Callithrix jacchus: one gene and its partners. The protein of the gene in region 4 interacts with the protein of the main gene of each other region in a pairwise test. Links are inferred from orthologs where the notes say so. Each region holds a gene or a part of one and is shown on either strand. Other genes may lie near its edges.

Region 1 (4,210 bases), on a different chromosome or scaffold from region 4:
CCAAACAACTCCTTTTCTGTATGTGTGGCAAACAAATATTGTTCTGTATTGGTGGCAAACAAATACAGAAAAAAAATTTTTTTCTGTATTTGTGTGTTAAAAAAAAATTTTTTTTCTATATTTGTGTGTTAAAAAATAAAATTGGGGAGGCAAGCAGGATCAGACTTAAAGCTGCATGAAACAATTTGGATGGACTTGATCCAGAGGAGAATGAGGAGGTATTTAATTGTTTCAAATGGAAATAAAATCAGATTTATGCTTTAGTCTTAAGGATGGACAGACTGGAGGGGAGCAGAAGGCTGGCTGGGGCAATCTGTTCACTGATAGAGGTGTAAACTAAGGAAGTGGCAGTGGGCTCAGAAAGCCATACGAGTATTATTAAACAGATAATCAAGAGGTAGAAGAGATAGGATTTGGTGATAGATTGTATGTAGGGGCTGAGGCAGGAGGGTTTGGGATGACATTTGAGTGTCTAAATTAAGGGTGATTAATGTACAACTTACAGAAAGGTCTGTAAGAAGAAAATAAGTTCAATTTTTGATATGGCTAAGTTCGAGGCAGATAATGGTAAGTTCCATGCCTGGGACGGACATGGCCATATAATATTGGCTGCTCTATCTAAACTCCAGAGACACATGGGATGGAGATGAAATTAGGAGCAGTCAGCATAAATGTAGTATTGACTTCATGGGTATGGACAAGATCATTAAGGGAGGATGTGAAGGTTTGAGAAAATAAAACTTATGATAGAACACTTGGGATATGATTCAGGATTGAATGGAGAAAGATTTAGCTTTAGTGAAGGCTGAGGAATGACCAGAAGGATGTGGAGGAAAACTAGAGAGTTCTGGGTCATGATAAGCATGCATTTCAAGGTTAGATTTTCCTAGAACATGTTCAACACCTTACAATTATAATACTTTCACACTCATATTTCTCATGCTGCATTATAAATTCTAGGATTATTGTGTCTCTATTGGCCTTATTGAACTAAGGGGCTGCAGTAGGCTCAGAAAGTCTTGAGTGTATCATTAAAGAGATAAGTAGGAGGTAGCAGAGACAGGATTTGATGATAGATTGTATGTAGGGATTGAGGAAGAAGGAAGGGTCTGGCATGACATTTGGGTGACATTTTATCCAAGTACTCAGCACACTGTTACTTAGTCGGTTCTCATATATTAATGATGGGGCTGATCTTTAGGAGGAGTGTCACCAGACTGGAAGATACCTCTGGGAATGAGTATGTTTCACACTGTAGTTCATTCTTAAGTTTTGTGGCCAAAAACGGATAGGAGGTGGATTGTGATGTATTTGGAACATGGGACCTTGAGGAGTTCCGTAACCAAAAGGAGGAAGTAACAACAGCCAGTAGAGACAAAAACTGCTTCTCTTTCTTTCCCCCTCCAAGTTCCTAGTGGAGGGCTGAGCCAAGCATCCCAGACTCGTGTGACTATATAGGCAAGCATTTGGAGACCTATTTCACTTTGATACCCTAGCCTTCAGCGGCTCAAGGTGTTGGCTTTGAATAGGAGGCTTCCAAGTAGTAAAGCTCCCTGCTCTTAGCAAACCCAACACCATGGGGAAGGGAGATGTCTCAGAGGCAGCACCAACCACCACAGCCACAGCCTACCACTCCATCATGGATGAATATGGTTATGAGCTGGGCAAGGTCATTGGCAATGGCTCCTATGGGACAGTATATGAGGCTTTCTACACAAAGCAGAAGATCATGGTGGCAGTCAAGATCATCTCAAAGAAAAAGGCCTCTGATGACTATCTTAACAAGTTCATGACCCGTGAGATACAGGTTAGAAAGGGGGCTGGAAGAGGGAACTGAAGCTTGGTACTAAGCTGCTTGAGGTTTCTCAGAAGGGGTATGGCCAGGAGGGGTGGGGCCAGAAACCCCTAAACCAGAACTGAATGTCTCACTAAGCAGCTAGGAAGATTTATGTAAATTAAACCTCTTTCCCATCCACCCACTCACCTCTAGCCCCACAAAAAGTAAAAGTGTAAAACATAGGGTTTGCCCACAGGCCACTAGTTCTCTGGGGTTCAGGGGTTGATCCTTTTGCAAAGTTCTAAGTAAGTAGCTAAGGGTAGGAGATGGCTGGGAATGGAGTCAGGGTTCTCCCTTCCCAGGTTTGATGGGTCTTTATTCTGGGGTCAGGTAATGAAAGTCTTGCGGCACAAGTACCTCATCAACTTCTATCAGGCCATTGAGACCACATCTCGAGTATACATCATTCTGGAGCTGGCTCAGGGTGGTGACGTCCTTGAACGGATCCAGCGCTACGGGGCCTGCTCTGAGCCCCTTGCTGGCAAGTGGTTCTCCCAGCTGACCCTGGGCATTGCCTACCTGCACAGCAAGGGCATCGTGCACCGGTGAGGTCGCTGCCACCCAGACTGGGGCCTTTGCTCTCAAGGGGGTTTTATGCACATCTCTCATTTCCTTCCCTTTTTTCCTCTCTCAAACTCCCTCCTTAATATCTAGGCCTATTCATGCACTCTATTATAATCATGTGGTTAAGGATACTAATAAAGTACTCACTCTATGGAGAGCTTTTGTTTTTTTCGAGATGGAGACTTGCTCTGTCGCCCCCATGCTGGTGTGATCTCAGCTCACCACAACCTCCGCCTCCTGGGTTCAAGCAATTCTCTTGCCTCAGCCTCTTAAGTAGCTGGGGTTACAGCCGCATGCCATCATGCCCAGCTAATGTCTATATTTTTAGTAGAGATGGGGTTTCACCGTGTTGATCAGGCTGGTCTTGAACTCCTGATCTCGTGATCCGCCTGCCTGGGCCTCCCAAAGTGCTGGGATTACAGGCATGAGCCACCACGCCCATCCTGGAGAGCATTTTATGAAATACGATGGTGAGCTCCCAGTGGTCTTCAGATACGATCCTCTCTCTCTCCTCACTTTGGACTCTCCTTACCCTCTGACCCCTGGCCCTTCAGCTCCCAGTCTAAAACTAAGCCCTCTCCCCAGCCTGACGCCCAGCCTTTCTGCTGCTGGTAGGGACTTAAAGTTGGAGAACCTGTTGCTGGACAAGTGGGAGAGTGTGAAGATATCGGACTTTGGCTTTGCCAAGATGGTGCCTTCTAACAACCATGTGGGTCATAGCGCTTCTTACCGCCAAGTGAACTGCTTTTCCCACCTTAGCCAGACTTACTGTGGCAGCTTTGCTTATGCCTGCCCAGAGATCTTACTAGGTTTGCCCTACAACCCTTTCCTGTCTGACACCTGGAGCATGGGCGTCATCCTTTACACTCTAGTGGTTGCTCATCTGCCCTTTGACGACACCAATCTCAAAAAGCTGCTGAGAGAGACTCAGAAGGAGGTCACTTTCCCACCTAACCTCACCGTCTCCCAGGAGTGCAAGGTACTGGCTACTGCAGGAGGGCTGAGGCCTCAGGGATGACCCACAGGGAGGGGTGAATATCCATCCTAGGTCACCCAACCTAGGCCTCCCAACCCTGGGGTAAGGCTCTTCCCACACCAGAGCCATTTCACACACTAGCTCCTGCCCTATAATAGAATGGAGCCAGCAGGTGTGGAGGCTCACGCCTGTAATCCCTAACACTTTGGGAGGCCAAGGTGGGTGGACCACGAGATCAGGAGTTCGAGACCAGCCTGACCAGTATGGTGAAACCCTGTCTCTAATAAAAATACAAAAATTAGCTGGGTGTGGTGGTGGGTGCCTATCTGTAATCCCAGCTACTCAGGAGGCTGAGGCAGAGAATCGCTTGAACCAAGAAGTGGGGGTTGCAGTGAGCTGAGATGGTACCACTGCACTCCAGCCTGGGTGACAGAGTGACTCCATCTCAAAAAAAAAAAAAAAAAAAAAGTATGGAAGGCATAAAGGGCCAACCAGTAGGCTCCAAACCTTGCTTGATATGCAGGTTCCAGCTTCTGCCTCTTTAGGCCAGAAGGGGATTATGGAAAGCATTCCTCCCAAGGAACTTTTCACTCCCCCTCCAGGGAGTTAATTGCCTGGCTCTCCAAGATAAAATCAGAGCCACACCCCGTTTGACAAGAGTGGTATGATAGGCTATCCTGCTTCTTTCTTAGGTCGAGCTGCTCATTGCCTGCGTGGCACAATGGAGAAAAACTCAGGCAAGACCTCCTCTCTCTCCCCTGCTCTAGAACCTGGTCCTTCAGATGCTGTGCCAAGCTGCTAAGCGTGTCACCATTCTGGATATCATTAAGGAT
Region 2 (3,562 bases), on a different chromosome or scaffold from region 4:
AGCAGCAGCTTTGTTAGTGGGGAAGGAAGGAGGAGGGTGCATATTCTTCACGTTCCGGTCATGCACTCGGTCACGAGTCTGGCCGTGCCTAAATGGGTGAGGAGCAAAGAGAAGAGGATAAATCTCAGTTCAACTAGGGAACTGAAATAATAATGTAATAATAATAATAACACACACTGCAAACCAGAAATTAACTTGTGAGGTGAGAGTTTTCGTTACCTTGAGTGAGCTATCCAAGTGAGTCCTATGGAAAATCAAACAATAAAAAAAGTTAGCTCAGTGAAGAAATAAGCTTTCCAAAGACAGTGCCCTGGGATTTCAACCTACTACATACAAGTATGCCATTCACAGTGCCCAACTTTCCCAGTCTTATATAAACTTCAGGCTGGAAGGTTTCTAATTTGGTACAGTATATCTCAAGAGTGAACGGGTGGGGCCAGGTAGGCATGCTCCTGACGCATACAGTACGTCCTGTATCTTTTTTCCTCCTCTTGCTCAGCTAATTCCCATCCCTCCTACATACCCCGTGGCAGGATGCTGCTGGATCTGTGAGAGGGGTTGAATACCAAATGCTTGGCCATAGCATCGCCCACAGAGGTAACAAAGGCACACGAAGTGCAGGCCAGCTTGGTTCCACTAAAAGAGAGAATCAAGAATATATAAGATAAATACAGCAGTGACACTTGAGACCATTAAGCTTTGAGGCTTAAGAAAAGGAATGCCCTCCCAAATTTCTCTTTTTTCTAAAATTAATTCACATAACCACCTCCCCAAATAATGAAAAGAATTTCATGTAAAAACCTGAAAAATTTAAAAAAAAAAGGGAAAACAAAACAAAACAACAACAAAAAACCCTGAAAAATTAAGATGTTTCCAGTAAGTTTTTTCTTACCTCACAGAATTTTTAAACAAAGCCAAATACTTGGGGCTTTTCCGTGGAACATGATTGCTGAGAAAGACAAAGAAGTGGTTTGAGTTATAGAGCGCTGCTGGCTAAGCTAGAGATCACCAGCCAGTGACAACGCCCCCAACAAGAGACCCTTCTTCAGTGCATCCTATTCTCAACCTAAGCCAGTTTTCCTGTCACTGTGCTTCTTAAACTTCAATGTGCATACAAATCACCTGAGGATCTATTATAATTCACATCCTGATTCAGTAGACTTAGGGTGGGGCTGAGAGTCAGAATTTCTTTTTTTTTTTTTGAGACGGAGTTTCGCTCTTGTTACCCAGGCTGGAGTGCAATGGCGCGATCTCGGCTCACCGCAGCCTCCGCCTCCTGGGTTCAGGTAATTCTCCTGCCTCAGCCTCCTGAGTAGCTGGGATTACAGGCACGCACCACCATGCCCAGCTAATTTTTTGTATTTTTAGTAGAGACGGGGTTTCACCATGTTGACCAGGATGGTCTCGATCTCTTGACCTTGTGATCCACCCGCCTCGGCCTCCCAAAGTTCTGGGATTACAGGCTTGAGCCACCGTGCCTGGCCCGAGTCAGCATTTCTAACAAGCTCCCACCTAATACTGCTGGTCCTTGAGTAGCAAGGTCCTGTGAAATTAGAGCACAGACCATCAAAACCAAAAAATAAAGCCACTCACTCTGCTAGGAGAGAAGAACAAATAGCTCTAAGAGTTGAAGGAGGAAACATTAGGAACAGGGAAGAAAATGAAATGAGTGCTCAAGAATCTGGCCAGGGCCAGGCACGGTGGCTCCTCGAGCACTTTGGGAGGCCACGGCGGGTGGATCACCTCAGCTCAGGGGTTTGAGACAAGCCTGGCCAACTTGGTGAAATCCCGTCTCTACTAAAAATGCAAAAAAAAATTAAGCCAGGTGTGGTGGTGCACACCTGTAATCCCAGCTACTAGGGAGGCTGAGACAGGAGAATCAGTTGAACCCAGGAGGCAGAGGTTGCAGTGAGCCGAGATTGTGCCACTGCACTCCAGCCTGGGAAGAGAACAAGACCCTGTCTCTAACCAAAAAAAAAAAAAAAAAAAAAAAAAAGAATCTGAACTTTTTTTTTTTTTTTGAGACAGAGTTTTACTCTTGTTACCCAGCCTGGAGTGCAATGGCATGATCTTGGCTCACTGCAACCTCTGCCTCCTGGGTTCAAGCAATTCTCCTGCCTCAGCCTCCCGAGTAGCCAGATTACAGGCACGCGCCACCATGCCCAGCTAATTTTTTTGTATTTTTAGTAGAGACGGTGTTTCACGTTGTTGACCAGGATGGTCTCGATCTCTTGACCTCGTGATCCACCCGCGTCGGCCTCTCAAAGTGCTGGGATTATAGGCGTGAGAAGAATCTGAACTCTCAAGCTGAAACATTGGTTGAAACAACTTACTTGATCATGTGGTTGGCATAAGCTCGAGAGCAGCAGGTGCTATAGCGACACAGAGAGCAGTGCACATAAGTAGGGAAATGATTAGGGAAGTCTGGAATCTCGAAGCTGCACTCCAGGCATGTCTGCCGGCCCATGACACTCCTGTAGGGAAGAAAAGGAGAATTCTCATTACTGCCTCAGGGTTCCCCAAAATGTAGGATTTTCAGACAAGAAATTCTGCTAAAAAGCTACCAGATCGCATTGTGTATCAGGAATAATTCTGCCCACCCAGCCCCCCACCGCCCAGCACTTAGAAGAAGGCGCTGACATTTTCCTAACAGCTCTCTTCTGGATGCTGCGCTGGACAGGGGGATAAAGGAAGACAGGCAGAGGGTCCGTTGAGGAGGCCAGTGGTGCTGCCTCCTGCAAGGCGCTGGGAGGTGTATCATTAGAGGATACAGGAACAGTTCGTGGCTGCCCTCGGGAAGCCCGGATTGTCACCTGAGAGTCAAGGGAAGGAACAATGAGATATCACCCACACTAAATTTCAGAATACTGAAAATCTCTATTCCTCCCTCCCTAAGCCTATAAAAGACACTGGCAAACCCTTTACCTTGGTGCCTGGTTTCAAGCCCTCCAGCTGCTTGGGTTTACGGAAGGTTTTATGGTGTTGAAGCTTGTGTTCAATTTTGTCCTTGGCAAAGAGAAACTGCAGCCGGCATTTGTTGCAGTGATAAACGTTTCTCTTCTGAAGTGGGGGAGGGGAGGTAAAAAGAGACAAAAATCCCTTAAAGGTTCCTAATAAATCTTCTTTGAGAAGTAAGCAGATAAATGCCAACCACATCATTCTTCCCCGCTTTCTGTTAATAATAAGAGAGTAAGAAAGAAATACACAACATGACCACAAAACCTACCACTGAGAATCATCACCTCCCATGATCCCAAAGAAAGATGGATTCCAGGCCCGGATGACCAAGTTCTCAAACCATCCTTTCCTGACTTATTTTAGCAATCTGAATGAGTGATGTAACCTCTATTTGTATAATATCTTTACACTGCTGACAATTAGACATTCTCCTGGACATTCTTCTTTTTTTAAAGAAAGATAACGTACACAGTAAATAAAAGTCAAACGTTTTTTTCTGTACTCTTCCAAGTTTGCCTTCAACTCTGACACTCAGTCCCTTTCCACAGAAACAACTTATTACCAGTTCCTGAGCATGCTTTCATGGGCAGTCTATACATATATC
Region 3 (3,562 bases), on a different chromosome or scaffold from region 4:
CCCATTTTCATTTTCTGATTTTAGCAATTGAGACTCCCTCTTTGTTGCCTCATCAGTGCGGCTTCATAGAGTGAGTTAGGAATGTTCATTTCTCCTTCGTTTTTCAGAAGCATTTTTAATTCCTCTTTAAATGTTTGGTAGAATTAAGTGGGCATAATGATAAATTCCTGTAGTCCCAGGTACTTGGGAGGCTGAAGTGGGAAGATTGCATGAGCCAGGTGTTTGAGTCCAGCCTGGGCAATGCAGTGAGACCCCATGTCTTAAAAAAAGAAAAGAAAAGGCTGGGCGTGGTGGCTCACGCCTGTAATCCCAGCACTTTGGGAGGCCGAGGTGGGTGGATCATGAGGTCAAGAGATCGAGACCATCCTGGTCAACATGGTGAAACCCCGTCTCTACTAAAAATACAAAAAATTAGCTGGGCATGGTGGCGTGTGCCTGTAATCCCAGCTACTCGGGAGGCTGAGGCAGGAGAATTGCCTGAACCCAGGAGGCGGAGGTTGCAGTGAGCCATTGCACTCCAGCCTGGGTAACGAGCGAAACTCCATCTCAAAAAAAAGAGTTTGGTAAAATCACCAGTGCAGCCACCTGCATCTTAGCTCAAATCTGTTGGGAAATTTGCAATTTCTTCTTACTTCTTATAAGGCTATTCAGGTTTTCTGTTCTTCCTTGAGTCACTTTTGGTCATTTGTGCATTTCTAGAAATTTATCCGTTTTGTCTTTTTAAAAACAAAACAAAAAACTCTAACAGAGAACATTATGTCTTAAATATTGTTTTATTTTATTTTATTTTTGAGACGGAGTCTCACTCTGTCACTCAGGCTGGAGTGCAGTGGTACGATCTCGGCGATTCTTTTGCCTCGGCCTCCCAAGTAGCTGGGACTATAGGTGCGCGCCACCATGCCTGGCTAATACTTTGTTATTTTTAGTAGAGACGGGTTTCACCATATGAGCCAGGATGGTCTTGATCTCCTGACCGTGATCTGCCCACCTCGACCTCCCAAAGTGCTGGGATTACAGGCCTGAGCCACTGCACCCAGCCATTTTTAATTTTTGTTTTATTACTGTTTTTGAGACAGTCTCACTCTTGCCCAGGCTGGAGTGCAGCAGCGTGCTCTTGACTTTACTGCAGCCTCCGCCTCCTGGGTTCAGTCGATTCTTGTGCCAGCCTCCTGAGTAGCTGGGATGACAGGCGTGTGCCTACCTCACCCAGCTAAGTTTTGTATTTTTAGTAGAGATGGGGTTTTGCCATGTTGGCCAGGCTGGTCTCGAACTCCTGACCTCAAGTGATCCCCCGCCTCAGCATCCCGAAGTGCTGGGATTGCAGATGTGAGCCACCGCGCCCACCACTTGTCTGTTTTTAACATAACCACAGTGGCACCGTCCACCTACAACGAAGTTAATGGTAGTTCCCTGGCAATGCCTGGCCTGGACTCCATTTCTCCCTGCCCCTCAGCCCCCATCTTCTGTCTGCTTACAAAATTGTCTTATTCAGATCAAGACCCAGACAGATCTGTGGGCGCTGGCTCCTGGCAGCTGTGTCTTCAGCCTCTTCGTGAGCTAGGCTGTTTCAATCTGACACCTGCCCCTTTCTCTATCTGGAACCTCCTTTCTCTTCTCAGAGGCTGGGCATCTTGCTGAGTGGTTTCTGTCCCATAGTTCCTGGGCACGCTCAGCCTTTCTTAGAGGGCAGGAACCCCCACCTTCCCCAAGGACTGTCAGCATGGTAGCCCCTGGCTGAGTTTCCACAGACTCAGCGAATGTCACACACTTCCCTCCCACTGATTTTACTCTTTCCATCTCTGAGAAGGCCCTGAGCCAGCCCTTGGTGAGGGCCAGGCTGGTGTCTCCAGTATCCTCAGAGCAGGCAAGGCTTCGGGCAGGGGGGAGGGTTTGGAAACCAAGGCAGGTGGATCACTTGAGGTCTCCCGACAGCACCCACAGGGGCTGAGAACTGGCCGCTCACTGAGCCAGCAGGTGTGGCCATCCCGTGTCTTGCCTGAGCTTCGTGGCATGTAGTGGGGATGTAAGTGCAAGGAACTGCAGGAGCTCAGGCCTGTCCAGCTCCAGCTGACCCCCTGGGGCCCTGGGTGAGGCCCACCTCTCTAGCCTGGCCTCCCTCATCATGAGGAGCACCCAGCCCAGGGGCTACCTATGATCACAGGGCCCCTCCACCCGCCTGCTGAGCATGCCAGGCTGTGGGGGCCCGAGGGGAACAGGCATTGGCAGCCAGGGCCCGCCCCGCCTGATGCCCATCTCTCCCACAGGCCGTGGCCATGGATGCCCTGTCTCTGGAGCAGCAGCTGCCCTATGCCTTCTTCACCCAGGCGGGCTCCCAGCAGCCACCGCCACAGCCCCAGCCCCCGCCGCCCCCTCCGCCAGCGTCCCAGCAGCCGCCACCCCCACCACCCCCGCAGGCATCCGTCCGCCTGCCCCCCGGTGGCCCCCTGTTGCCCAGCGCCAGCCTGACTCGTGGGCCACAGCCACCCCCGCTCGCAGTCACGGTACCATCCTCTCTCCCCCAGTCCCCCCCAGAGAACCCCGGCCAGCCATCAATGGGGATCGACATTGCCTCGGTAAGCCCAGCATGGGGTCCTTTGGGGCCTGGCTGGGGATCTTGGGGAGGACAGCCTGGAGGATGCAGAACAGTCGAGTTACTGCATGGGCCAGGGGCCAGGACCCCAGCGAACACTGCCCAGCCCGGCACTCCATGGGGCTACCCCTTGGAATCAAGCTGAGACTGTCACTACCCATAGAGATGGGGAAACTGGGCTGGGCGTGGTGGCTCACGCCTGTAATCATGACACTTTGGGAGGCTGAGGAGGGAGGATGACCTGAGGTCAGGAGTTCAAGACCAGCCTGCCCAAAATGGCAAAACCCCATCTCTACTAAAAAAAAAAATACAAAAATTAGCCAGGCACAGTGGCAGGCGCCTATAATCCCAGCTACTTGGGAGGCTGAGGCAGAAGGATCGCTTGAACCTGGGAGGCGGAGGTTGCAGTGAGCCAAGATGGCACCACTATACTCCAGCCTGGGCAACAGAGCAAGACTCTGTCTCAAAAAAAAAAAAAAGAGATAGAGAAACTGGGGCACAAGCAGGTGGCTGGCCCCAGACTCCACCCACAATGGGCCACTCCATATTTAACTGCCAGGTACCCCCTCTTGGTCTCTCGGGACCCTCCCACCCAAAGCCAGGCTTCCTTGGAGGTGAGAAAAGCACAGTGTTCTGGGGCTTGGGTGCAGGCTCCCAAAGGCCAGGGGATGACATGAGCTTACCAGGGAAGGATGGCCGAAGCCAGCTCAAGAAGCAGTGGCCCATGAGACACAGTGCCTGGGACCCAGGGCCGGGGGCCATAACTCAGACCATGGAATCTTCTGCCCAGGGCCAGGCTCAGGCAGGCCAGGACTGGGTACTGGGTACGAGGTGCTGACCCCTGTACCCACAGACCTTCCTGACTGTGCACACTTCTACCTGCTTGCTCCAGTGCTGGGGGCGGGTTGGGAAACAGCTGCTTTGGGCCACATCCAGGGAAGCAGGGACCTGCGTTTGGGGGACAACAAGCCC
Region 4 (4,259 bases):
AAGAATTGAGAGACTTAAGCATGTGTAAATGAAAGAGCCGGTAGAGAAGGAAAGATTGAGAGCAACAGAAGGAAAGGAGGCTCGTTAAGGGCAAAGTCCAGAAGAAAACAGTAGGGGACCTAGAGTACCAAGAATAACTCTTTCATTACAAAAGAAGTGAGTCAGGGGCGGAGTCCGGATTTGAACCCTCTCTGCTTCCTAAAGACACATCTCTTTTAGAAAAAGAATGATTAAGACTGGAGGCAGGGAGGGGTGGCTCACGCCTGTAATCCCAGCACTTTGGGAGGCTGAGTCGGGCGGATCACCAGAGGTCAGAAGTTCCAGACCAGCCTGGCCAACATGGTGAAACCCTGTCTCCAGTAAAAATACAAAAATTAGCTGGGCGTGGTGGCGGGTGCCTGTAATCCCAGCTAATTGGGAGACTGAGGCAGGAGAATCGCTTGAACCCGGGAGGCGGAGGTTGTAGTGAGCCGAGATAATAACACTACACTCCAGCCTGGGTAACAAGATTGAGACTCTGTCTCAAAAAAAAAAAAAAAAAAAAAAAGGACTTCAAAGCCCAGAGACAGAGAGAGGGCTGCAGAGTTTACTACCAAGGAGAATGGGGACCTAGTGGTGTGGCCTGGGCAACCTCTAAGAGAGCAGTTCAGTAGTTTCCAGCCACGGAAGTTCCCCTGCTGGGTTCACAGTGCTGAGGGTGCGAATCCCTTGCTGTAGAAAACAGGCTGAGGAAAGAACGCGACACAGGATGTTGTCTGGAGAAAGGCGGGGAGGTGGAATAGGGCATATTTCCAGTGGTCCAGGCAGGCCCGGGCAGAACCCGAGAGGTGCCACGGTATCCGAGCCAACGTCCCCCGGGAAACCATGCCCCGCCGGAGGCCTCCGGGTTTCTCCGCTGAGTCTCCGAAAGGAAAACTCGTCCCCACTGGGTCCCACGACGTCCCCGAACCCCAAGCCCCAGGCCCTGGGACGCTGGCAGAGGCGCAGCAGCCCTTCCTCCCCAGCCTGCACGGCTCCCGCGGTCCGTCCGCGTTCCAGCCGGAGCGGCGCTGCGCCCGCTTGCCGGCGGCGTCGGAAAGTTCCCGGGGCTGGAGGCGCTGAAGGGCAGAGCCCGCGGCTCACCGCCGCAGAGGCAGGCCTGCGCGGGGGTTTCCACTAAGTCGCTGACACCCCTCGGGAATTCCCCACTGGGCCACACACAAACCCCGTTTCCTCCTTCAAATTTCCGCCGCCGGCTTTATCGATTCGAACGCAGCGTAGCGGTTTAGACCACCCCTCCCAGCGCGGGGCTCAACCCGTCTTCGCCTTCCTCTACCGGCGCAACCTCTTCGCCTCGCCCGAAGAAGCCCGAAGGCCTTCGGCAAGTTCCGTCCCCAGCGCGGGGGTGGGGCCGCTCGAGCTCCTCCGGGCCGAGCTCGGCTGTTTCCGTGCGCGGCCGCTGCGCACTCGGCACTGGGCGGCGCTGGCTGGCTCCCTGGCTGCGGCTCCTCAGTCGGCGGCGGCTGCTGCTGCCTGTGGCCCGGGCGGCTGGGAGAAGCGGAGTGTTGGTGAGTGACGCGGCGGAGGTGTAGTTTGACGCGGTGTGTTACGTGGGGGAGAGAATAAAACTCCAGCGAGATCCGGGCCGTGAACGAAAGCAGTGACGGAGGAGCTTGTACCACCGGTAAGAGGAGCAGGAGGAGGAGGCAGGAGCCAGAGAGAGCCGGGGGGACGGAGGGGGGACGGGGAGGCGCCGGACACCCGCGCTTGGGGCCTTCCCCTCGCAGGAGGGGCCGCGGTAAAGATGGAGCCTCCGCCCGAGCCCCACAACATCGCCGCCGCTCGCAGCGAACAAAGAATAATGGCGGCGGACTGGAGCCAGCGGCGGCCGGGGCGGCAGCGACTCTGCCTGCAGCCAGCGGCGGCGCTCATGGCGGGGGGCGGCGGGCGGCGGGCGGCGGGCGGGGTGGGAGCCGGCGGCCGGGGGTGTGTGCGGGCGGCCGGCCGCGGCGAGCTGGCGCCCGCGTTCCCGCCGCCGCCGCCGGGCCGGGCGCGAAGCCGGGAGCCGGGATCCGGGAGCCGCCCCGGGGGAGGCCGCCTGCTCGGCCCTGAGTTGCCCCCAGCGCAGCTCGCTCATCCGGCCCCCGCCGCCCGCCTCGCCCCCGACCCGACCCGGCCCGGCCTCCGGGGCAGCCGCCGCCTGGGTGCCAGTGGGGGTGGAGGAGGAAGAAGGCGACAGTTGAGGGCAGAGGAGGTGAAGGTGCCTGCTGCCTTCCCGGTGGCCTCGCTGTCTGCCATGCCCGCTTCGCAAGGGGAAGAGCTGCAACGTCTGACCTACTCTTCTCTCCACTCTTTGTGCAATAAAGTTCGAAACCCAAGGTTTCCTCTCGTGCTGTATTTTATTCATGCCCTTTCCCTCCCGCTCCCACACCGTTGAGGAAATGCTGCTTTCTGCCCTGTGTTGCTTAGTTGAGAGATGAGGGCTTGTGCCTGGGGGGAATTTTTGACTCCCTCACCCCCTTGCCTTTTTTTTTTTTTTTTTAATTAATCCTGTAGTCATAGAAATGCATGCTTTTTGGGAGAAAGGGTGCTAAAAAAAAACATTTGTAGTAACTTTAAAGAACTGTTGGAATCTTATAAAAGGGAAGCTGGTGTTTGAAAACAGTTTCGGTTTTAACCCTTTTCAATAAGGTAATTATCACTTTGAAACACTTCGTTGAAACGAGTATCAGCGGACGTACTCTTGTTTTACATCATTTCGCGGGGTGCAGCCTTGTCAACCGCGTTTTGGGTCATCTGACTCTCCCTACACCCTCAGTCCCACCCCCCTACCATATTTCCCACAAATTTCTGTGTGAACTTTAATGAGAGACGGAATACTAATTCTAAAAATAGACTTTTAAGTATCCATTATTTGTCTCTCATGCAGTAGGTAACCCCGGTCTTGAGACTGAGAATTTAAGCCACAAGCTGTATTTTTTCTTTGCCTGTTGGGAAAAAAGGACAGCAGAAAAGTCATTTAAAAATTAAAAGACAATTTTTAAAGGACATGTCGTATGACCTATTTAAGTTTGTAATGCCATCCCAAGTTATAATTCTAACCTCGGCTTACGACTGCCTTCTAAAGGTTTAGTGGAAGATACTTTTGATTGCTGCCTCTTGAAATCTTTTATATTTATGGCTCATTTCCTGATTTAAAAGTCAAGCCCCAAGCAGTTATTTTAGGTGGTGCAAAAGATGAACAAGTTTGTTTTAAAAGTATTTGTCTGTCACTGTATGGTTGCATTGTGATTGATACACACAAGGCTTCTGGTTAGGAACAAATATTAATTAGCAGTAGAAACAGTGTCTTATTTTTCTCTATGTAAGTCACTTTTCCAAAACCTGCTTTGCTGTATTGCTTCTCTTTAAAAAAGACCACATTATCAATTTGTCATTGCCAAGAAAATAAGATACAGTAAAGAGAGGTTCTCTATAAATATTGGGAAAATGATTTTACTTCCAATCGCTGAGAAAATTATTACAGTATTGATAATGGTAGGTTACTGTTTTTCCTTAATGATGTTCTGCAAGCCACCATCAGTTGAGTAGAATTTTTTTTCTTGTTAAGCTTATACGCGGTGGCTCATGCCTGTCTGTAATCCCAGCACTTTGGGAGGCCAAGGCGGGCGGATCACCTAAGGTCAGGAGTTCGAGACCAACCTGACCATGGAGAAACCCCGTCTCTACCAAAAATACAAAATTAGCCGGGCGTGGTGGCGCATGCCTGTAATCCTAGCTACTCGTGAGACTGGGGCAGGACAATCGCTTGAACCCGGGAGGCAGAGGTGAGGGTGAGCCAAAATCACACCATTGCACTCCAGCCTGGGCAACAAGAGCGAAACTCCGTCTCAAAAATAGTAATATACGCCGGGCGCAGCGACTTATGCCTGTAATCCCAGCATTTTGGGGGGCCTGGGTGGGCGGATGACTTGAGGTCAGGCGTTGGAGACCAGCCTGACCAACATGGTGAATCTAGTCTCTACTAAAAAAAAAAAAAATTAGCCGGGTGTGGTGGCTCGCGCCTATAATTCCAGCTACTCGGGAAGCTGAGGCAGGAGAATTGCTTGAACCCAGGAGGCAGAGGTTGTAGTGAGCCAAGATCGTTCCACTGCACTTCAGCCTGGGTGACCGAGTGAGACTCCATCTCAAAAAAAGAAAAAAAAACCACAAAAAATTGTTTACTGATATGTTCTTTCTTTAGTCTTGCCCAAGAGATATTTTCATTTATTTATTTATTT

Evidence for each region.
Region 1: the proteins of CREB1 (region 4) and TSSK4 interact in binary tests that used the Homo sapiens proteins (3 or more experiments, as listed by UniProt). The link is inferred for Callithrix jacchus from reciprocal best matches to the Homo sapiens genes CREB1 and TSSK4.
Region 2: the proteins of CREB1 (region 4) and POGZ interact in a two-hybrid assay, tested with the Homo sapiens proteins (2 studies listed by BioGRID and IntAct). The link is inferred for Callithrix jacchus from reciprocal best matches to the Homo sapiens genes CREB1 and POGZ.
Region 3: the proteins of CREB1 (region 4) and CRTC1 interact in binary tests that used the Homo sapiens proteins (3 or more experiments, as listed by UniProt). The link is inferred for Callithrix jacchus from reciprocal best matches to the Homo sapiens genes CREB1 and CRTC1.

What each region holds. Positions count from the first base shown.
Region 1 is NC_133509.1:58,511,286-58,515,495, forward strand, and holds the start of TSSK4 (testis-specific serine/threonine-protein kinase 4), read left to right. Parts: upstream 1-1,351; 5' UTR 1,352-1,576; coding exon 1,577-1,807; intron 1,808-2,167; coding exon 2,168-2,382; intron 2,383-2,986; coding exon 2,987-3,380; intron 3,381-4,069; coding exon of another isoform or gene 4,070-4,144; coding exon 4,145-4,210. UniProt on the Homo sapiens protein: Serine/threonine kinase which is involved in male germ cell development and in mature sperm function. May be involved in the Cre/Creb signaling pathway. Phosphorylates CREB1 on 'Ser-133' in vitro and can stimulate Cre/Creb pathway in cells.
Region 2 is NC_133519.1:11,309,129-11,312,690, forward strand, and holds part of POGZ (pogo transposable element with ZNF domain), read right to left. Parts: intron 3,061-3,562; coding exon 2,926-3,060; intron 2,814-2,925; coding exon 2,641-2,813; intron 2,475-2,640; coding exon 2,334-2,474; intron 950-2,333; coding exon 893-949; intron 637-892; coding exon 524-636; intron 245-523; coding exon 220-244; intron 89-219; coding exon 1-88. UniProt on the Homo sapiens protein: Plays a role in mitotic cell cycle progression and is involved in kinetochore assembly and mitotic sister chromatid cohesion.
Region 3 is NC_133523.1:17,472,658-17,476,219, forward strand, and holds part of CRTC1 (CREB-regulated transcription coactivator 1), read left to right. Parts: intron 1-2,264; coding exon 2,265-2,573; intron 2,574-3,562. UniProt on the Homo sapiens protein: Transcriptional coactivator for CREB1 which activates transcription through both consensus and variant cAMP response element (CRE) sites.
Region 4 is NC_133507.1:128,985,444-128,989,702, forward strand, and holds the start of CREB1 (cyclic AMP-responsive element-binding protein 1), read left to right. Parts: upstream 1-1,451; 5' UTR 1,452-1,547; exon of another isoform or gene 1,548-1,663; intron 1,664-4,259.